Caenorhabditis elegans: one gene and its partner. The protein of the gene in region 2 interacts with the protein of the main gene of each other region in a pairwise test. Each region holds a gene or a part of one and is shown on either strand. Other genes may lie near its edges. The genes, in order: odr-10 and odr-3.

Region 1 (9,068 bases), on a different chromosome or scaffold from region 2:
CAGGAGATAGTGTGGTATTGCGTGCAAAAACGTTAGATGATCACGATTTGGAAATGATGGATTCGGCATCTGACAGCAAATTTCCTCTTGCCCTTGCCACGTTATTTTTTGTCTGTCTTTTTATCTAATCTTTGATGTTTTTTTGTGATTAGAGTTCATTATCTCATTTCCCCCTCTATTGTCAAAATTGTAAATCGGTGAATCTTCTATTTTTCTATCCATAACTTCATCTAATTAATCAATATCATCCCCTATCTCGTCCTCGAAATTTTCCTATTCTTTCATTTTGCACTTTTAAACAATAATTATAGAATTCATTATCACATTAACGCGTGAAATGCATTTTAAACGCAATTCCTTCTCTTTTTATAGATTTTCAGTTCGTTCTCTCTAGTTCAGCTGAAAAATGTACGGTTCAAAATGTTTTTGGATTTTTTAAAAACATAATAAGTAATAATGTTATGGCTTTTCGTTTATTGAATAAACTTTAAATACCATAAACTATCGAACAATTTATCAAAGAGTGTTAGCAAGACTTTTATTTTTGAATAATGAAAAGTGTCTACAAATTTATATGAAATTTAAAAACAAGCGAATAAAATTTGAATCAAAACTAAATGTAGAGTGAAACGATAAATAACTGAACGTCAGCTATCTCCATTCAACTATTTGCGTGTCTCCGGAGCATTGTTACCATAAATGACGCACTGTTTTGTTGCAGACTTCATCATTCTTGAGTCACTTGCACAATTAAATGCTTGCTGAAATCCTGGCATTTGTGCAACAGCATTAATTCGAACATTGTGATGCGAATGCGAGCCATCTGTTGTATTGGATTTTGATCCCTCAATTATCAGACAGTCAAAAATGTTAATTTTATGTACTAACCCTGCAAAATCTGTAGGCAAATGAATAGAACAACAATTGTTCGTTTGTGATTTTTAAACCATCAGCTTGCTCCTTAAATTGTTTATAGCAAAATAAGAAAAGTGATACAACGCACTCTCAATTGGTCGCTCAAATCTCTCTCCAGTATTGCATATGCAAGTTGCAGACCAAAAACATCAGCACCATTATCATCAAATGTATAGTCTGAAGTATTGCAAGCATCAGGAACCTTAAACAAAAAACAATATGTCAGGTGAAAAATTGAATTATTTAATACTCACTTCCCCTTCGTAATATTCATTGCAAGTCTTTAAATATTGATTCTGAACGCAATCCTCAGCTGGCTTTGAAAAATACGGAAGACCGTCAGGATTGATACTGTGTTCAATGAAAGTATGGCCGATTTCATGACCTACTCGTGTTCCTGTGTATCCCAGCTGAAAAATAGTCCATATTTCCTCTATTAGTCTTTCATGGAAGTCTATATCAAGCTGTAGATGTGCCCGACATTTAAACACGGCAATACTATTAAAGGCAGACTAATTTTTTGATTAGCTTGTTAGTGTGGAAAACTAGCAGAAACTGCAAGAGTAATAGAGAATAATGTACGCTACTTGTATTTTTATTGCTTGAATGGTTCAAAAAATTTGACAGACAAAAGATACAAAACATAAAAGTATTAGGCTTACTTTTGATGCTCTCCAGTTTCCATATGTAGTATGATAATAATTTGGAAAACCAAAGTAAATTGTTCCTTCTGCATTGTAGCCGTTATCATCTATGAAATAGCTACCACGTGTGCGTACGAATATCTTCGCTGAATAAAATAAGCAAAATAGAGTATTGTTTTGAATTCCTTCAAATTCGGAAACACAATTCAGAAAATCAGTTTCTATTGGAGATAGCAAATTGTAAATAAAGTTGGTATATTTGGTCAGTGACACTGGCATTTTAATTGCATTTGTAATATTCTTCATTTCCTCGGTTAGGTTATTGTTAATAACCCACGGAGTTTTCTAAAAATGTTAAATTGGTATAAAATCACACATTCAGTGTTTACCTCAAGCCAAATATTCCCTAATTCTACCATGTCCTCCATCATTTGGTGAATTTCGTTAATTCCGTCAGTAACATTTGCTTCAACGTGGTAATATAATGGTTGCAACATTCCGTCGTAAAAAGTGACATAATTGATAAATCTATATTGATAGTCATACTGAAATCTTATTTTTTTGTTTTTTTTTGTATGTAATATTAGAAACAAATTGCTCTGTGCTTCAAAATAAAGTTCCACAGAGATTTGTAAAACAATCTGACAAGTTTCATAAAAAATAGCAACACTCACAAAACTTTCCGACGACGTATTAAAGTACTGTGTGAGTAATACTGTTATGTCCTCAGTGGTCATACTACACCGTAAACTTTTCAAATTGTACAAACTGAATGTTTCTTCTTTGTACAAGTTAGTGATTATTTTCTCAAACTTGGAAGTGAACAACTGAGTTGGAAGATAGGAGGAATTGCATCTAAAGTGTAATTACTGATTAGTTGTTGGAAAACTGAATTTATTCGTGAATTAGCTAGTTTCCCTTCAACATTTAGCTTGTTCTCACGTTAGGGTTCGTTTCTACAAGATCCTCACACTTGGTACATGTTTTTTATTTCATACCAGACTTACATAGATAAATAATAATTTGCAAAAAAAGTGGCAGCATATGTGGGATCTTCGAAAGTTGATATTATAGACTTTTCCCTCGTTTCGTTGGCCTGAACTCAAAAACTCAATTCAACTTGAAAGTACATACCTTCTTCGCCAGGCCAGGAAAAATATTATTACCTTTCTGCTTCCACGAATGATTTAATGCATCTTTTAAAGGTTGCATCGATACTTTTATAATGTCTTCAATGCTGCCAACTGGACAAGCATGACGGTAAAAATCATCACAGGGATCTGATTTCCAGTCCACTATTCTGAAAACATATAAATATTGCGGGTTTCCACTGTTGATTGTGTACTTCTCTAGCGCATTTTCAATAAAATCGAACGGATGTTCATACGCATTTTGGGTCGGTAGAAAACAAAAAAGTATTATCAGCCACATTTCGGAAAAAGACAGTAACTGGCAACATTTGCGAATAAATAGGACTCTGGTAACAACAACTTCTATAGAAAAAAATTAGAAAATGAAGATTCAACAAAGACATCAAAGGAAAGTTTTCACGTTTTTCATGTTTTTTTTTTCAATTCCTCATACCTTTTGTCAAATTCAAGAAACCGCTATCCTAATGTTTGTGTTCAAATGTTTAGATTACTGTATTGTACGTACAATGTTCAATTGCTCCATGTTCCAATCAAAAATTTAATGGTGAATGTTTTAAAAATATTTTGTTGTTTCTTTCTTAATTTTTTAATTTTGGTTTAGAAGCCAAGTACAAAAAAGGTATCATCAGCCAAATTTTCTAGTGCTTTCTAGTTTCTACTTTCTAGTACTAACAGCTCCTAAAAGTTAATATCATTTTTATAATAACAACTTCCATTTAAAGCGTTGGAGAATTTGTACACCACAAAAGCATCAAAATTAAGTTTTCAATTTTTATTACCACTTTCAAATAATTTTCTATATCTCTTCATTCCTTTTTTTTAATATAAAAACGACCATCATCAAACATGTTACTTTTAAATGTTGTAGTCAACTTGATGAAGTAAAAAAAAACTGAGAGTCTGATTACTTTTCAGAAATTGAGCCAAGCATAGATCATAAGCAGGTAACATACCGAAAGCAGACTAATTTGTTCTCTTTTTATAGATTTTCAGCTTTTTTCAGCTTTTTCATTATCTACAAGTCAGTTGCTTCTAACTTCTCTTTTAGTTCTAAAATGCCCAAATATAGTAAAAGTTTTTTTTAGAGGGATCACCACCAGGCAGTGTACCTGAATCCCAGATCCGCAGTGCATAGCACTTGAAGAACGGATCGTCCTTTAATCCTTTTTAATCCTGAAACTGTATAACATGACTTCATTCTCATGACAAGTCCAATGAAATTAAAATTTCTCAATTGTGCGATTCTCAGTATTTCAAAAAACATTCATCACGTCGGAACTTGAGACAAATTGGCTCTTGTTGTCGAGCGGGATTCATCAACACTGTTTTTCTTTCCACACAAGAAATCTGAAATTTTGCAATTTGTCAATTTGTAATATATATGTTTTCTTCTTACTGAATATTGTTCTTCGGAAATCACGAATGATCAAAATCAGAATGAGTGGATCGAGTCCCGGGTACAGAAATGAGCAAAACACAATGAAATTGGCGTTTGCATTCAAATTCACGTCAAAAAACGGTGCGATGAACATGACTCCAGTTGGGGCGTACATGAAGATAGTTGGGATGAGTGTCTGAATTCATCTTATACCATGTTTCTAGTTTCAGATCGGGATACCTGAAGAACTAAAGCTTTGAAAAGTTGTTTCTGTAGCGCTCGAGTTCTATCAGATACATCCTTGTGTTCATTCATAGTTTTCCACGTGGCATATCCGCAGTAGAACATCACAACAAACGTCATCGACTAAAACCTTGTTGAATAACTATGTTAGGAACATCTCCGCTTACCATGACAAAGTAATGAACAAAGCATCCAAGCAAGTTTTTGAGGTAGATATGCCTTACTCCGTTTTCGTATTGGTACTGAAAGTATCTAGTTTGATGGTTTCCGTGTTATCAACTTACATAGACGTATGCAATGTACGATACATTCTCCTTTTTGATCCAGTTATAGTGGTTATTTAGTACATTGCTGAAAAAAAAAATTCCTAGCTACAATTCATAGATCTCATACGTGACAGCCGCTTCCGTGTACTCGGTATCTGGATACAAAAAATATGAGACACTAGCCCACATTGTCACGGGTACACTGCAACCAAGTGGCCAAAGTAGAAGAGTTGGCAAGTTGAACAAACGAAGTAGATTCGGTCTGTGAAGGGTGTTATAGTATTTTAATCTAAAAGTATGTATACTAATAATAGAGAGCTAATAGTCCACCCCTACAAGTTTTGCATCCTACATTAGTGCTGCACCTTTACAGCAAGGTTCCACAAGTCATTTTTTCAACCGATCATTTGCAGTTTATTTATAATGCTGTTCCTATTGGATACTGTACTAATAGAGCAATACTAACAAAAGAAATACGAAACTTAGCCCGTTTTACAATTGTACTTACTTGCAAGTTGCAAAATATCGATAAACAAAGTGAACTCCTGAGACAACAAAACTGGTGGCAAAACAAGCACAGTAAAACGCAGAGTTGATTTTTCCAAGTTTGGTGGAGTAGTTGAATCTTTTCCTTGAGATCAAAAAGAAAGTGGTGTTCTCAATATGCATTATCTGAAATTTAATACATTATTAACTTCAAGTTCAACAGTTTAGCCTACAGGTCGTAATATGAACTCGATGATGGCGTAAAAAATCGAGAATACTGAGAAAAACGCCATGAGATATTTATAAGTGCCCAAGTTTTTTCCACGTGTTTTCAGAAGTCCGAGAAGAACAATGTTGACACAGAAGGTGAGGGTGACGCCGACAATGTCCGCTGTGTCAACTAGGGTAATCCACAATTCTCCCGACATGGAGCTGTAAGGTATCTTAATGAAATTATGAGAATTTCATGCCACCGCCAACAAAAAATTAATTAAACTGAATACATGGTTATATGTGCTTTGTTCCTAACCTATTTTATAGTAACTTGAAGCCAGGGGCGTGTCGTTTGAGCCATTATTTTCCTGGAATTTGTCTACATACGCAACTTATAGTCAGATATATTGTTTTCAAAATCTGAAATCTGATTTCACGAGGTATTCAGTTAAAAATAATACGTTTGTATCCACAAATTCAGAATTGGGAAAATATATTGAATTTATTATTCCAATCACAAGATGCTACAATTAAAACCTGAATCACACACATCAGCTGGTTGTGTTGTAGTAAATGTCATGAATCACAACACAATGTATCCTAAATGAATGATCTCTCTTCGATTATGTGAAATTGGATGTATTTACTGCCTACTCACAAGGGAAGCATTTCAACATAATCCCGGACTTCTGAATGAAACCTATGCCATTTTGAAGAAGACCCTTTAAAGAAGGAGTATCGTCAATGGGAAAATTGTTTTAAAATGTAGTATTCGTGCTCAAACTTAAGAATATTACAAAACAAAAACGGGAGAATCCGCTTAGATTCAGCATTTTAAGTCGAAAAAATCTTTAAAAATTAACTACAGAAATCCTAGGCCACGACGATCTTTCGAATTTTTATTTGTTTTGGTATTGTCCTTTGAAAAAATACTCAATACAATTTCTTCTTCCCAGTTTTCTTGAACTTTTCCAGAAAGAAAAGCGAATTAAAGTTCGAAAAATTACATTTAAATCAATATTTTGTTTACGAATATGGCCTAAAAGTTGCGTGGTGGCCTAGGATTCATTTGCGCGCGAAATTCAAATTCAGCCACTTTCAGCCACTTTCGTCGATTTCAACGGCTAAATGCTGAATGTTAACGGATTTTTTCCGTTTTTCTTTTGCGATAATTGAAAGTTTGAGTACAAATACTACATTTTAAAACAATTTTCCCATTGACGATACTCCTTCTTTAAGTAGGCCCCTCCAAAAAATGTAGCGGCAGAGGAGCACTTTGAACTGGAAAAAAGTCGCTCTGAAAATTTTTCTCTGCGTCCTCTCATTTTCCAATGCTATTTCGCACGTCCCTATATATTTAAGTAGATATCAAAGTGTCACGTTTTCTGGTTTTTGTCATTTATTTCATTTACAAAAAAAGTGTCATCGAATGACCGAGTGGTTAGCGAGTTTGATTAATATTTCTTAAGTCTGGGGTTCGACTCCGGGTGCCGATTTTTTCCAAAATTTGTTTTTGCAACTCCGAAAAATCTCAAAAATTTTTTCATTGTGTAAAAACACCCAATTTTGATATTAAATAACTTTGACAACTTTTCTGAATTTAAAAAAAAAATTATATTCACTGAAAAATTTTGTCATGGACTTATTCAAAAAATTTCAGATTTTTTCGAAAAGTTTAAAAAATTCCAAAAAAATTCCGAGTGCTCTCCGGCCCCTGAGCATCCTAGAAATTATCAAAAATCTACAAAAATTCACATTTGGAGCCATTCTACGGGCCTTGAAAGTTGTGAAAAAATGCACTGAAAAGTTTTCAGAGCGATATTTTGCCAGGTCAAAGTGCTCCTCTGCCGCTAATTGTTTTGTAGGGACCTACTTAAAGAGTCTTCTTCGAAATGACATAGGTTTCATTCAGAAGTCCGGGATTAAGTTGAAATACTTCCCTTGTCAGATGTAATTCTGTACTTGATACTTGGAAAGTATAGATCTAGCGGTTTTCTGTAATGAAACATCATTTATTCATTGGTATAGGTATTTACAAAAATTACAGTTACCCAACCTTTCAAAAAACTGCTTAATATCCTTTAATTGAAATTTTCAAGGGACTACTGAAGTGTCGAAGAATATGAACAAAAGGTTCGCATTATAAACTCTTGACACTGGTGGCCTTGCGGTTAGCGCGTTCGATTAGCGTGCCGGCACCCACTGGTTCAATTCCCTGTGTATGACGACAACATGTTAGGGACATCTGCACAAACCGTGAAGATTTAACGAAAGTAGTACTGACACAGTGTCTTTCCTTTTTTCATAAACGTTATTGAAAATAAAACTATAGAAAACACATTAATAGACAGTAGAATATGTATTGGTTAAGAAAAGTTATTCTAGTTTCGCTTCGCTCTCCGAGAATTAGTTTTCCCCGATCAAACTCCGCTCTAAAATGTTAAACTCGCGTTATATGGTATTACGGGTTTATTGTTTGGGATTTAGTGTGGTATAGGACGTGATAAATGTGATAAATAATGGGGATTTGGGCGCGTGGCGCCCAAATTAGAATTTGATAAACGGGCCTCGAAGATTTCAAAACGGGTAATTAATATATCCGAGTAGTATCGTAGACGGTCCGATCGTTCCTCGTATGGTGTGTTCCTCGTATTGTACGGCCTGAGTCCGCTCGGCGATGGCACATGGTGACTGATCGATGGTGTCTGACGTGGGGGAAAACTGAAAACTATGAACCGAATTACTGTGTCTATTAAATAATTTAACGGTTCTTAATATTTTATGTAAACAACTTCCCTGCTACCGTCAGCACTGCAACGAATAGGCTTCGTCGTTTACGGACCGAGCGGTTTCGAGCAATGTTCCTAAAACTTCGTCTTTTCTTCTCTTCCATGGGTCCGGAGAAACGATGTCATCTCGGCGTCCCGACTTGCTCGAGGGTGCTCTTCACTCCAACGAATGGGCACTTCTCTGTCAAGAACTCTGGGGCTTCGGCCTGTGATCTGCCTCGTTGACTCTGTTGACTGTCGGCTGAAGCAATATAATACATAATCTGAAATGACACATTACATTAATTTGAAAAATAGATGGCCATTTCACAATTGGTCTGCAGGGACCTCTAAATCATCTCGATTTTCTTAGAATAAACTGTAATCGACTTACTTGAGCCCGTGTTCAGACTGGTATTGATTTATGAGTCAATTATGAAAAATTAATGCATATTATAAAATTTTCTCGTAAATTACTGGGGTTTTGATATTTCTACCACAAACCTCTACCGGGCAATTCGAACTCTTGTGAGGCAAAAGAAAAGTCGATCAAACTTCGAATTATAGACGAAGCTCAATCTAGTGAGATCTTACGGTTGGAGAATATTCCGTCTAACGTCCAACGGCACGTACTGGGATCCTCATCTCAAAACAAACGTGGCTGCAAATAAAGATCATTAAGGCGAAAATGTAAACTGGTTCCGTGAACCAAATCCGTAATTTTTTCCTTTCCATTTAAACATGAAAAAGCTTCCTGGTACCACCAAAAACAGGCACAAGGGTCGACCTGCGTATGTAGTAGACCGACACCGACTGCCCGCTCTGGTCATACATGTCGGAAACTATGAACTCACCTGCTGAACAGCGACTTACCGTTTAAAAGCGACATATTCAGAATATGACAGACGGCCTCATGGGGGAAAACATAGCGTACGTGCTTCGCACTTTGGAATAGTAGAAATGTGGGGCGGGAGGGTGGGAAACCAACACGTAGAATGATGACA
Region 2 (10,591 bases):
CTTCTTCTTCCTCTATCATATACAAAATGAGTCACAGACGCCATGAAAAGGCACTATTGATTGGAGAAAATGTTCTCGATATCAACCCCTCAATTATTATTTGTCTCACCTCTCCCTTGACACCCTGGAAGAGATTTATCTCATCGTTTTTGTTTTTCGAGTTAACACACACACACACACACAAAAGAAGAAGCAGCAGCAGGAGAGGAACCACGTTTCATATTCTGATGATGGCTCAATGCTTCTTTGTGCTCCCATTATTCTCTTGTTTGCTCTCTGAGGCGGTGTAAACTATTTAATGAAAACTTGGTTAGATATTTGAATATTTCGATCATAGGACTCGTTCCACTAACATACTTTGCAGCAGCATAAGCCATGTGAAATTGATTACTTGAATTCAATTATAATAGTCTAGGAAAACCATTGAATCAATTCAGAAAGTTTTCTGATAATTCCACGTCATTTTCTTTTAGGTATGCACTCTTTTCTTTGTCCATCTGACACCTCTTTTCTTGGTGTAAACAATCCTTTTTCGAGATGTGCCATGTGATTTCGATTTTGAAGTTTTTGTTTCCTATTTCAACCTGCTCTTTTCTTAATACTAAATTTTAAAATTTGGTCCAAATGTCTCAGAACAGTTTGACAATTCGACATTGATTTTTTTTTCATTTTTAGAAAACAAATCTATGGTGGTAATTTGAAGTTGTGTTGTTACTATTAGATTAGTTTCACAATTCCATCAAATCCTATTTCAAAATCTCTTCTTCCGAGTATCCCTGCTCTTCGATTACCTACTGTAATCCGTGAAAGCAGTGCTCGCAAGCTATTGTCTTGATTCGCTGTGAAGGATTACATGCCACATAAATCTGCTACAAAAATTGTGGCAAAGAACGTCTATCGAAATTATTCTGATTCATACTCTCACTCTCGGGGGAGAAATATTTTCATTTCTTTTTGATTTCGAAATTTTTTTGATAGGTTGTGTTCTGCTCATCCAGCAGGATATTCTCTAGAAATGAGCAATTGTTATATTGATTTTTTGGAGATGGAGTTCCATTAATGGAAAGAGTTCACTTGAAAAACTCAGAATAAGACCAAATGCTAAACCAGCACAATAAAAAACGAAAATAAATCGAGAAAGAACCCTTTTTCAATAACGCAATTTTCCATTTGAATTTCCTCCGAAAGAACCACTGCAAGACCAATTAGCAACTCGCTCCTTTCATTGTAGAACTAATGAGATTTAATGTGGATCTTGGAAAAAAATCAAGCATTTTTTCGTGATATCTCAACATAGTAGATTTTTAAAAATAGTGTTTCCTTTGACTGTATTCCCATTGACCGTTGGAACTTATTTCAATAAGTTTTTCATTTTTCCCGCCGATTCTTTTCATAAAAATTGTGTTAATCTACTAACTTGTTCACTGATCTTTGAATAATTAGCATGTACCCCAGTGTTTTCCGTGTCTGCTTCAGCCCCAGAAGGCTTTTATTGTAAAGTATTCGAAACAAATTATGCTTTCCGAGCGACAAAACACATTTTTTTAAGAATGAAAACTTGGCGTCTTCATCTTACTTTATCCTACTTTCTTACTTTCAGAGAAACTTCCAATTTTTTTTTCACATTTTGTAGCCATGTGGGTTTTCGAGCTCCTTGATAGAATTATTCAATTACACGTCATTTTTGTGTTTCATTATTCGGGTTAAACGTCTAAAGAGATCAGTGTTCTAGTTGTAGACATGAGTTCAGAACGTACGTAATAAACACTATTCCCAAGTTGGATGTCTCCAATATTCTTTTGTTAGACTTCCAGCTGATAATTTTATGTCTAGAAATGAGTTACTCGTAATTAAAATGTGTTGATTGCCCAATAGATTGTATGATTTTTGTGAAGTAATAGGTAATTGCCACCTATAATTTTCAAAACCGAGACATACTTATTTGGTAATTCAGTTTGGTAATTCAGCAAGTTTTAAAATATAATTAAATTAATATTTCTTATTCCAAAATATATTTCGAATTCCAAATTTCTAATTTTATAAAACTAGATTATTTTACTCAATCGCCCACGTTGTGTTGACTTTCATATCTCAATATCATATTCTCAATTCCTTAATCTTATTCTCACAACCAACGTCCAGTGTTACCTGTCCACTTGCCTTTTCCATCTCAATTCCTTCACTCATTCGGTGACTCTCACGTCTCTAAGGAGAAAATACGAAAGCAAATATACTCAAGTCTTTTTTCCGCTTTCTTGGTTGAATGACTGAAATTTTTTAGTTATTATCTGTATTTTCCGGATCACCCAGCTGAAGGAACTGATCGTAGTATTTTGTAATTTTTAAACAGAAAGGTGTAGGAGGCGTCTTCTACCTAATTCTGATTCATAAATGTTTTTAATGAAATCCGAACGACAATTCATGTTGGTTTCAACTACAATCATTCCTCTAGAACAAATCCTTTTGTACTTATGTTCTTGTTTTTTGATACTCCATTTTTACCCTCTCACCACGCCCATTTTAAAATATAATTTTCTTCCTGTTAACTAACATAATTAAAAAATTAAATTATCATGTGATATGTTTCACAACCTTTTTTTCAATAACTATTTTATTGAATTTTTAGTCATTCATGTGACGTTGTCTAGGAGACACCTCGTGGTTTTTGTCTCTCACGCCCCTTTTCTTCGATTTTTTTTGTAGGTACAAAATACAAACAGTAAATAAACCATTGAAAAACCATCGAAAAAAACAGTTGTATATATTAAGTTTAAATATATCGAGAAAAAGTGTTCCTGAAAATTTCACCTGTTGTTGAACATTCAATAAAGAAAAGTGTGCGATAGATATATTTAAATTTAAGAGATCGATAGTGTAAATAATTGTTGGATTTATTCCCGTTTTGTGGCTTATCAGCTCTTTGTTCGGTCTGAAAAAATGCTATAAAAGTTTTAGAAACGCTTTGGTATTCAAGAAAAAAGTGTTATCAAAAAATCACTCAAGCCTTGCTTTTGTCACCAAATATGAAAAACTCGTAAATGATTTTGTACGGGTTTATAGTAATTAAGTAGTAAATACATTTTTTAAAACGATTTATTTCCAACTCTGAAAATTTAAAAAACTAGTATGAATATTCACGTCCTTGTTTTGAATATGTTTACATGGTGATCGATTTTTTTTGGCGTAAAGTTGGATGGGACACTTTTTAATTCTAGGAATTTTATTCTTGATTGTTGTTCTTTAGCAATCTACATCGAGTTTTTTTTTTAATTTTCTCGGTTTTCACATTTTGGTGTATATTGAACAATTCAAACTAAAAATCTTCCCAAATCTCAGTCCATCTTCAAGAAATATTAATCGAAATTATCAGTCTTTACGATCTATCAACATTGTTATATTTTGCTCTCCATTCTGATCACAAAGAAAGCCAAATGTTTTCTCTGTTCATTTCCTAGATTTCCTGAGTTTGTAGTAGGTGCACTTGCCTTCTCCCCAGCTTCTTCTTCATCTTCTCGACTGCAACGATACAAATCGTTTGGCGCCGACAGAAGGATCGTGGTGTCTTGTGACGCACTTACTCTAACACAATCCATTCTCCACCCACCTTTTACCTCCATCCATCTTCTTCTTCTTCTCTTTTTCTATTGATATTTGCTCTTATTCGAGTGTAGGTTATCAACGCTAATCCCCATCGAACAATACAGGCATTTTGTCGTCGTCGACGCCGTTTTCTTCTTCTTCGTCGTCGTCTTTGACTTTGGATTTATGAAGGCGACGGAGCCGGCGATGTAAGCTAAGTGCAGTTGATATACGAGCAGATAAGATTATCTCTTTTCTTCAACTTTTACTCCATTTACCTCCAATCTTTATACTTCAAATGCATTTGTGTATTACTCTTTTTTTATTGTTCTGTTATTCCGATATTTCAAATCAATTACTCATAGATCATTGTTTTTTTAGATATGGGCTCATGCCAGAGCAATGAAAATTCGGAAGGTAACGCGAGGAACAAAGAAATTGAAAAACAATTGAATGCGGATAAGCGAGCTGGAAGTAGTATTGTTAAGCTTTTGCTACTTGGAGCAGGAGAATGTGGAAAATCTACAGTTCTGAAACAGATGCAGTATGTTGAATCTAGGACTTTTTCGCATCTTCTAATTGGTTTTATTGTTCAGAATTCTTCATAGCAACGGATTCACAGAAGAAGAAGTAAATGAAAAACGAGCAATTGTTTACAATAATACTGTTTCTGCAATGTGCACAATTTTAAGAGCAATGGACGGAGTTCTGCATTTACCGTTGGAAAATGGACAAAAAGAAGCAGAAAAGGCAATAGTTATGAAAGTACAGGAAAATGGAGAAGAAGGAGAAGCACTGACAGAAGAAGTTTCGAAAGCAATTCAATCGTTATGGGCAGATCCTGGCGTGAAGAAAGCATTTGAAATGCGTAGCGAATATCAACTTCCAGATTCTGCTAAATAGTAAGAAATTTGTACAGTAGCGTCAAAATTACATTCATTGGAAGAAATTGGTTTAAAAATTGATATTTAAGTTTTCTAGAAACATCGACAAAAGTTGAGAGTGCGCTTAAGGGTTTAAAATAATTCTGAAATTCATTTTTATACGTTTCTAACATTTTTTATTTTGACTTCTGCTGCTAATGTAGACTCGTCTCAAATTAAAAGATAATTTGAAGAGTATTGAAGAATTTTTTTGAAAAAATCTTAATTTTTTATCTTTTTTCTTCAAAATTGTGCAAACAAAATTTTAACATTTCTTATCCAAAAAAATACAGTACGAAAATCGTTAATCATTAAAAATTGTTTTGCACAACAAATGCCGCGACGTGGCACTAATGTTCCTGTTCACTTCTTATTTAATTAGTCATATTCCCAGTTATGTAACTCTCTCCCTTTACACAAAATTGAATTTTCAGTTTTCTGGATAATTGTCAGCGTATATCTGAACCTGGGTATCGGCCAAACGATCAAGATATTCTTTATTCTCGAGTGGCAACAACTGGTGTCGTAGAAGTTAAATTTAAGATCAAGGAGCTTGACTTCCGGTTAGTTTTGCCATTTTTTCTTGATTCACTTTTCCCAGAGCAAAAAACAAAATGAGCTGGGGTTTTCACCGAGTCTCCATAGCAACACTATTTTCTTATGTATTCCTTTGTTGATGGTGACAATTGGATTTAGCTGAAATTAAAGAAACCGAGGAAAGGTGGAATGAAAAGATGAAGGGAATAAATGAATATTGATGTTTTAATCCTTGATTTCAGTGTATTTGATGTGGGAGGTCAACGATCTGAAAGACGAAAGTGGATCCATTGCTTTGATAATGTCGAATCTATTATTTTCATTACTGCTATTTCCGAATATGATCAAGTTCTTTTCGAAGATGAAACGACGGTGAGTTTTGTTTCGAAATGTTCAAAAAAAAACTTATCGATGACCTGAGAGAGCAAACGCATTAATCTTCATTTTGTCTGCACTTATCTAGCATACCTGAAAAGTGTAGGCATCTCTTGTTCTTCTTAAATCCATTTCTGAGATTATTAATTGTAGTATATCAAAGCAATGTAGCTAGAGCATATACTATAACAAAATCATGCGAAGGTGTATAGCAGGGGCGTGCGGCAAATTTGCAGAGCTCGGCAAATTTTGAGATTTGTCGCACACCTCTGGTGTATAGTTTTACACCTTTGAAACTAGATTTGCGCTTGTTTTTGCAGTCAATCCATCACTGAGATTTACTGAATGTGGCCCTTTATAATAATTTAAATTTAATCAGTGGCAACAATAAATCAGTTGTGGTTTGAAAAATAGTATGCCGTGGTGAAAATAGTGAAAATGCAGCAATTCCGGGCACCGTTTTCAAGCCCGAGTTGCGATATTTCATTTTTTTTCTATCATTTTCCGTGACTTTTTTTCTTGAAAAATCTGAAAAGAGATAAGGAAATGCTGAAAAGAGATTTCGTCTATAAAATTATCAAATTTGGGAATCGTAGGCACAGGCTGCGCTAGTTTAACTTTTTATTGATGTTTCCTTTTTCGTGTTCTTTTCTCTTGAAGGCAAATCCAGACACACCGCAGCATTTTTCAATTTTCATCAAAAAAGTTAAACAGTAAAACATGGATTTTTTCTAATCGTCATTTTTTTTTGGCACACCACAATCCATCTCTGAAATTTCAGAACCGAATGATCGAGTCCATGCAGCTTTTCAATTCAATTTGTAATTCAACTTGGTTCCTTTCAACAGCAATGATTCTTTTTATGAATAAAAAAGATTTATTTATGGAAAAGATTCAACGAGTCAATATTACGACTGCATTCCCAGATTATGAAGGTGGTCAAAACTATGAGGAGGCCGTCTCGTTCATCAAGCAGAAATTTGCTGAATTGAACTTGAATCCTGATAAAAAGACAATTTATATGCATGAAACTTGCGCTACAGACACTAATCAGGTAGGTTATTGGTTTATTGGAATTTTAATTCTGAACTGATCTTCAAAAAAAAAAACTTAATTCCCAATTTTCAGGTACAACTTGTCATTTCGAGTGTTATTGATACAATTATTCAGAAGAATTTACAAAAAGCAGGAATGATGTAAAAAAACAATTCGATTTTTTTTTCATAATAACATATTGCCTACTCACTCATTTAATAGGATCCGATTCTGCAAGTAGGATTCTCCATATTTCACTTTTAATTTTTTGAAAATGATACTCTGCCCACTTTTTGATCTGAAACAAAGTAGGAGTTGGAAATTTTAAACAGCTAATGCAAAAGTGAGTCACGAATTTCCAATTCTTAATTTTTTTTTTCATCTTCACAATCCTTATCTGATCTCATTTTTTCCTCACATCCCAAAAATCACGAATATCATGTGCAACGTTGCAAATTGTTTTAAATCAAATGTTTTTCTCATAGGGAGCTCCATAATTTTTCAACCGATTATAACCCTTTACTACTCCAAACTTAGCTAATTCCTACGCTTTCCCATTTGTCTACTCCCATAGTTTTTTTCAGTTCCCCGTCATCTTCCGTTTTTTTCTTGTCGATTACTTTTGTCATTTTTTTATTTTATTTCTGGAAACTCAATTTTTGTGTGAATGCTGTAAAACATGCTTCAAAATTAGAGATGAACAATAACGAATAAATAAAATAAAAATAATAAGAAACAGAGAGCCCAATTAATCTATGAAACTGCGGATAGCTCATCTACCAGGCATATTTGAATTTAAAGCATCAAAGGACGTGGTTGACTCATTTTTACAATTTTTGTGAATCAGAAATGAGATACATTTCTTACTCTTTGTTTCTTGTGTTTGCAATGTTCAGCTTTTGATTATTTCTTCATGAACTGATGAAATATTGTTATGTATTGAGGCAGAACGAGGAGGCGAAGACGAGTAGTTTATTACATTACTAAACTAAGGAATAAATAAGTTAGTTCATAGAGTTCACGTTGTACGATCTTCTTAGCCACGTCGTGGGTCAATACACGTTGATACCCAACATCTCCCCTCTTCAATGACAAACGATTGCTGTGATCACGAGTATATCCACCGATGTCTTCTTGAAGTTCTTCTGGGGTTTCTTCCGGAACACGAAAATGTGCCCGTATATCCTCAGGGATTCAGCTAATCCTCGACACATGGTCCCTCGGTGTTCACATCATCCAATTGCGAGTTATCCAGTGCTACGTAGACCTCCTTATCCAGTGTTTCTTACACCTCCTTATCCAGTACTACTGACACCTCCTTCCCGTACCAATTTTGATGTCTTTCCTACCTTCACCTACAGTCTAAGACGATGCCTAAAAATTAGACCCACTCTTGAACCATCCAATACGGATATACTGATTCCGTCCGTTTACCAGCATCCAGACATTTCACTGTACCGGAGTTGCTGATTATGTGCCATACGTCCGACAAATATGTTCTGCTGAAAATAAAAAAGAGACAAAAGAGTAAAGGATTTGGTAAACTTATCACTCTTAGAAGCCAAACAGAGTTCGTATGGTTGAAATACAAAGTACAAAATAAAAGATATACAAAACAACTGACGCGATTTTACTTTTTTTTATTTGAACTGCAAATTGCAAGAAAAAATCCAAGGTCATTAATTAACTAGAAAACATTTCTCGTCCATTGCCGTTTAGAATGTTTCATTTCTCTCGGAACGGCATACAAGTTGTTTGTTATCTGAAGGTTGCCAAATCTTGATGAACACCCCCACCTTGATGAATTTGGATGGCTAGCACTGAACGGTACGTGGACCACTTTTTTGCGTACCCGAGAAATTACTTGATTCGTTGAAAATGAAAAAAAAACGATAATTTGATTATATCTTTATATTTGGTTCAGAAGAAGGAACACGTAGGAATTGAAGTATCGGATTTGAGGCGTAGTTGTGAAGAAACAACATCCTGCGTGGCTTCACATTGGCTTCCACGATGGACGCCGATCAGTGGAATGTTTTCAGAAAAATTGTTAGTAGAAGTATCACATTGCTACACACCTACTAGTCTGCCTACCGCCTATTCGCCTGCATTTCGGCTACACAGGTTATCTTTACGTGACTCGCGGTAGAGCTGGTAAAATAACTGAAGAGTAGAGGTATGTTTTGCGACAAATGTTTTTCTGAGTTTCGCTATTCAAAATTATAAGAATTGAAAGTTTTCATGTTTAAACTAGCAGAGGCGTCTCAAAATTTAATTTTACATGAAAGACCTCGTTCCCAGAGTTCTAATTTGGAAAATTTTGAATATACGCTTTTTATGTTTGCATCTTCACTTTTCAGCCTAATTCTTAAAATAACCTATTCTATCCTGCTTGACACCACCGTCACACATCTAGCAAAAAAATCATCTCGAAAAGTTCACTTTATCATTTTTCAAAATGGAAACGTTTGAAAAAAGAACGAGTCAACAAATTTTAAACATCTCTTTTTTTCAATCAGAAAATAGTTCCATTACTACTGAAGTTTGCTTTTGTGGATATCAATTAAATGGAAAGGACTGTTATTTTCAGGATTTGATAATAACTTCTATAACAAAAACACTGAACAAACATTAAGATCCGTTTGGAAAATGTATAAATAAATTGGATAATACCTTCAAACACGACACTTGAAAACTGCGTGTGTCAGCGAATTGAACCGTTAACTTGCAACAACAACAGTTTGAAACTCTGTCTCTCAATTGTTTCTATTGATGGTTATCAGTTGAAAAATGAAGAACTGGTAGTGTTCCTCTTCTCATCTTCTCCACGAAATGCGTGTCGTCCCGGGTGCCGGGTGGCACTCGGTTCCACCTCTCGTAGATCGGAGTAGTCGCATTACGAACAGACTGTTCGGAGCGAGACGATGAACATCGAAAAATTGAGAGAGAGCTCAATTGTTTATTTGTTTGTCGTCAATTTTCAATTTGTGCTCTCTGTGTTCCTCCGTTCATCTTGCTCCCTGTACCCTCGTGCCCACCACCATCCTGGCTCTGGCTTTCTCCGCAAATATTTTGTTTGCAACTTGTTCCTTTTTTCTGCGAAACAAAACTTTGTGATACGAACGGCGGGAGGGGGAGGTAAACTAGACCGGCTGACTGACCGTTCGTTTGTTTTAAATCCGCTTTGATCACTTTCACCTGGTTTTTATTCACTTCTGACCGATTATCTCCTGGTTTGGCATCTAGAAAGTTGTTTTTACAAGACAGTTACAAAAGCTCAAGAAACTTTATTTGTTTCAGGATGTTTGTAGGAAGAGTTCTTTAAAAATCACTACACTATCTTCTACAATACTGTGCTTCCGGAATTGAAACAATCCGATTCTCTGTATGTTTTTGAAATCTCATTGCAATGACAAAGCCTATGTCGAAACTTTGAAGATCGCTCAATTGCTAATTTTTCCGTAGCTTTGCTCACTTTGATTGAAAGCGTTTCAAAAGAAAAATAGTTTCATTTTTAAGTCATTCGAACTTTTGTCCTTTCCCTATTTGTCTCTGTTTGTTTTTTTTTTCTTTTCGGAAACACTTTGATAGTCTCCGATGCAACAAGTGCGTTTGCACTCTTCTCGCCCCTCGGACACTCTTCTCAAATCATGTTCTTTTTGTTTCATTCTTCTCACTCTCACTCTCTAAGTCACTTTCTCTACTGCTTTGAAACTTCCTACAGTATGCCTAATGCATCCGGTAGCTTCTTCCTCCTTCTTGTTCAAAAAGCATAGGGTCATAGACCTACTGTTGATTGTTTTGTTTACGGAGACTGAACACAGTTTTCGACGAAACTGAAACTTTTTTGTTTGGAAGACCGACCGGTTTGATTTGAAAGTGTGTATTTGTGAAGGTCAGCATTGGTGATGGTTTTGACCACCGTTCGAGATGCATATCTTCCCATTTCCTCATCAATTCTAGCTATCAAGTTTAGTCCACTTTCAGATTGTTTTTCGATATTTTCAACCTACATTCCGAAGTGGAGTAGTATAAATAGAAAAGCCAGTGGGAGTCTATATGTACAAGAAACCAAACAGGTGTGTTTCACAGTCGTATTTATGAACTATAACACCTTTTGATCACATATTCGAGCTTCAACT

The links.
Region 1: the proteins of odr-3 (region 2) and odr-10 interact in a two-hybrid assay, tested with the Caenorhabditis elegans proteins (one study listed by BioGRID).

What each region holds. Positions count from the first base shown.
Region 1 is NC_003284.9:6,860,425-6,869,492, forward strand, and holds odr-10 (Serpentine receptor class r-10), read right to left. Parts: upstream 5,516-9,068; 5' UTR 5,512-5,515; coding exon 5,317-5,511; intron 5,270-5,316; coding exon 5,106-5,269; intron 4,860-5,105; coding exon 4,725-4,859; intron 4,683-4,724; coding exon 4,616-4,682; intron 4,574-4,615; coding exon 4,499-4,573; intron 4,455-4,498; coding exon 4,329-4,454; intron 4,285-4,328; coding exon 4,107-4,284; intron 4,058-4,106; coding exon 3,978-4,057; 3' UTR 3,891-3,977; downstream 1-3,890. Other genes in the region: Neuronal immunoglobulin domain-containing protein rig-3, read left to right, coding at 4-128; nep-4 (Peptidase M13 C-terminal domain-containing protein), read right to left, coding at 666-845, 889-960, 1,004-1,117, 1,170-1,325, 1,578-1,904, 1,949-2,104, 2,567-2,655, 2,726-2,859 and 1 more; C53B7.6 (uncharacterized protein), read right to left, coding at 8,208-8,345. UniProt on the Caenorhabditis elegans protein: An odorant receptor which affects chemotaxis to the volatile odorant diacetyl. Specifies AWA neuronal cell fate via the odr-7 pathway.
Region 2 is NC_003283.11:13,242,906-13,253,496, reverse strand, and holds odr-3 (Guanine nucleotide-binding protein alpha-17 subunit), read left to right. Parts: upstream 1-3,960; 5' UTR 3,961-3,962; coding exon 3,963-4,123; intron 4,124-4,175; coding exon 4,176-4,481; intron 4,482-4,936; coding exon 4,937-5,065; intron 5,066-5,281; coding exon 5,282-5,411; intron 5,412-6,195; coding exon 6,196-6,468; intron 6,469-6,542; coding exon 6,543-6,614; 3' UTR 6,615-7,173; downstream 7,174-10,591. UniProt on the Caenorhabditis elegans protein: Guanine nucleotide-binding proteins (G proteins) are involved as modulators or transducers in various transmembrane signaling systems. This specific G-alpha subunit plays an important role in olfaction and in cilia morphogenesis.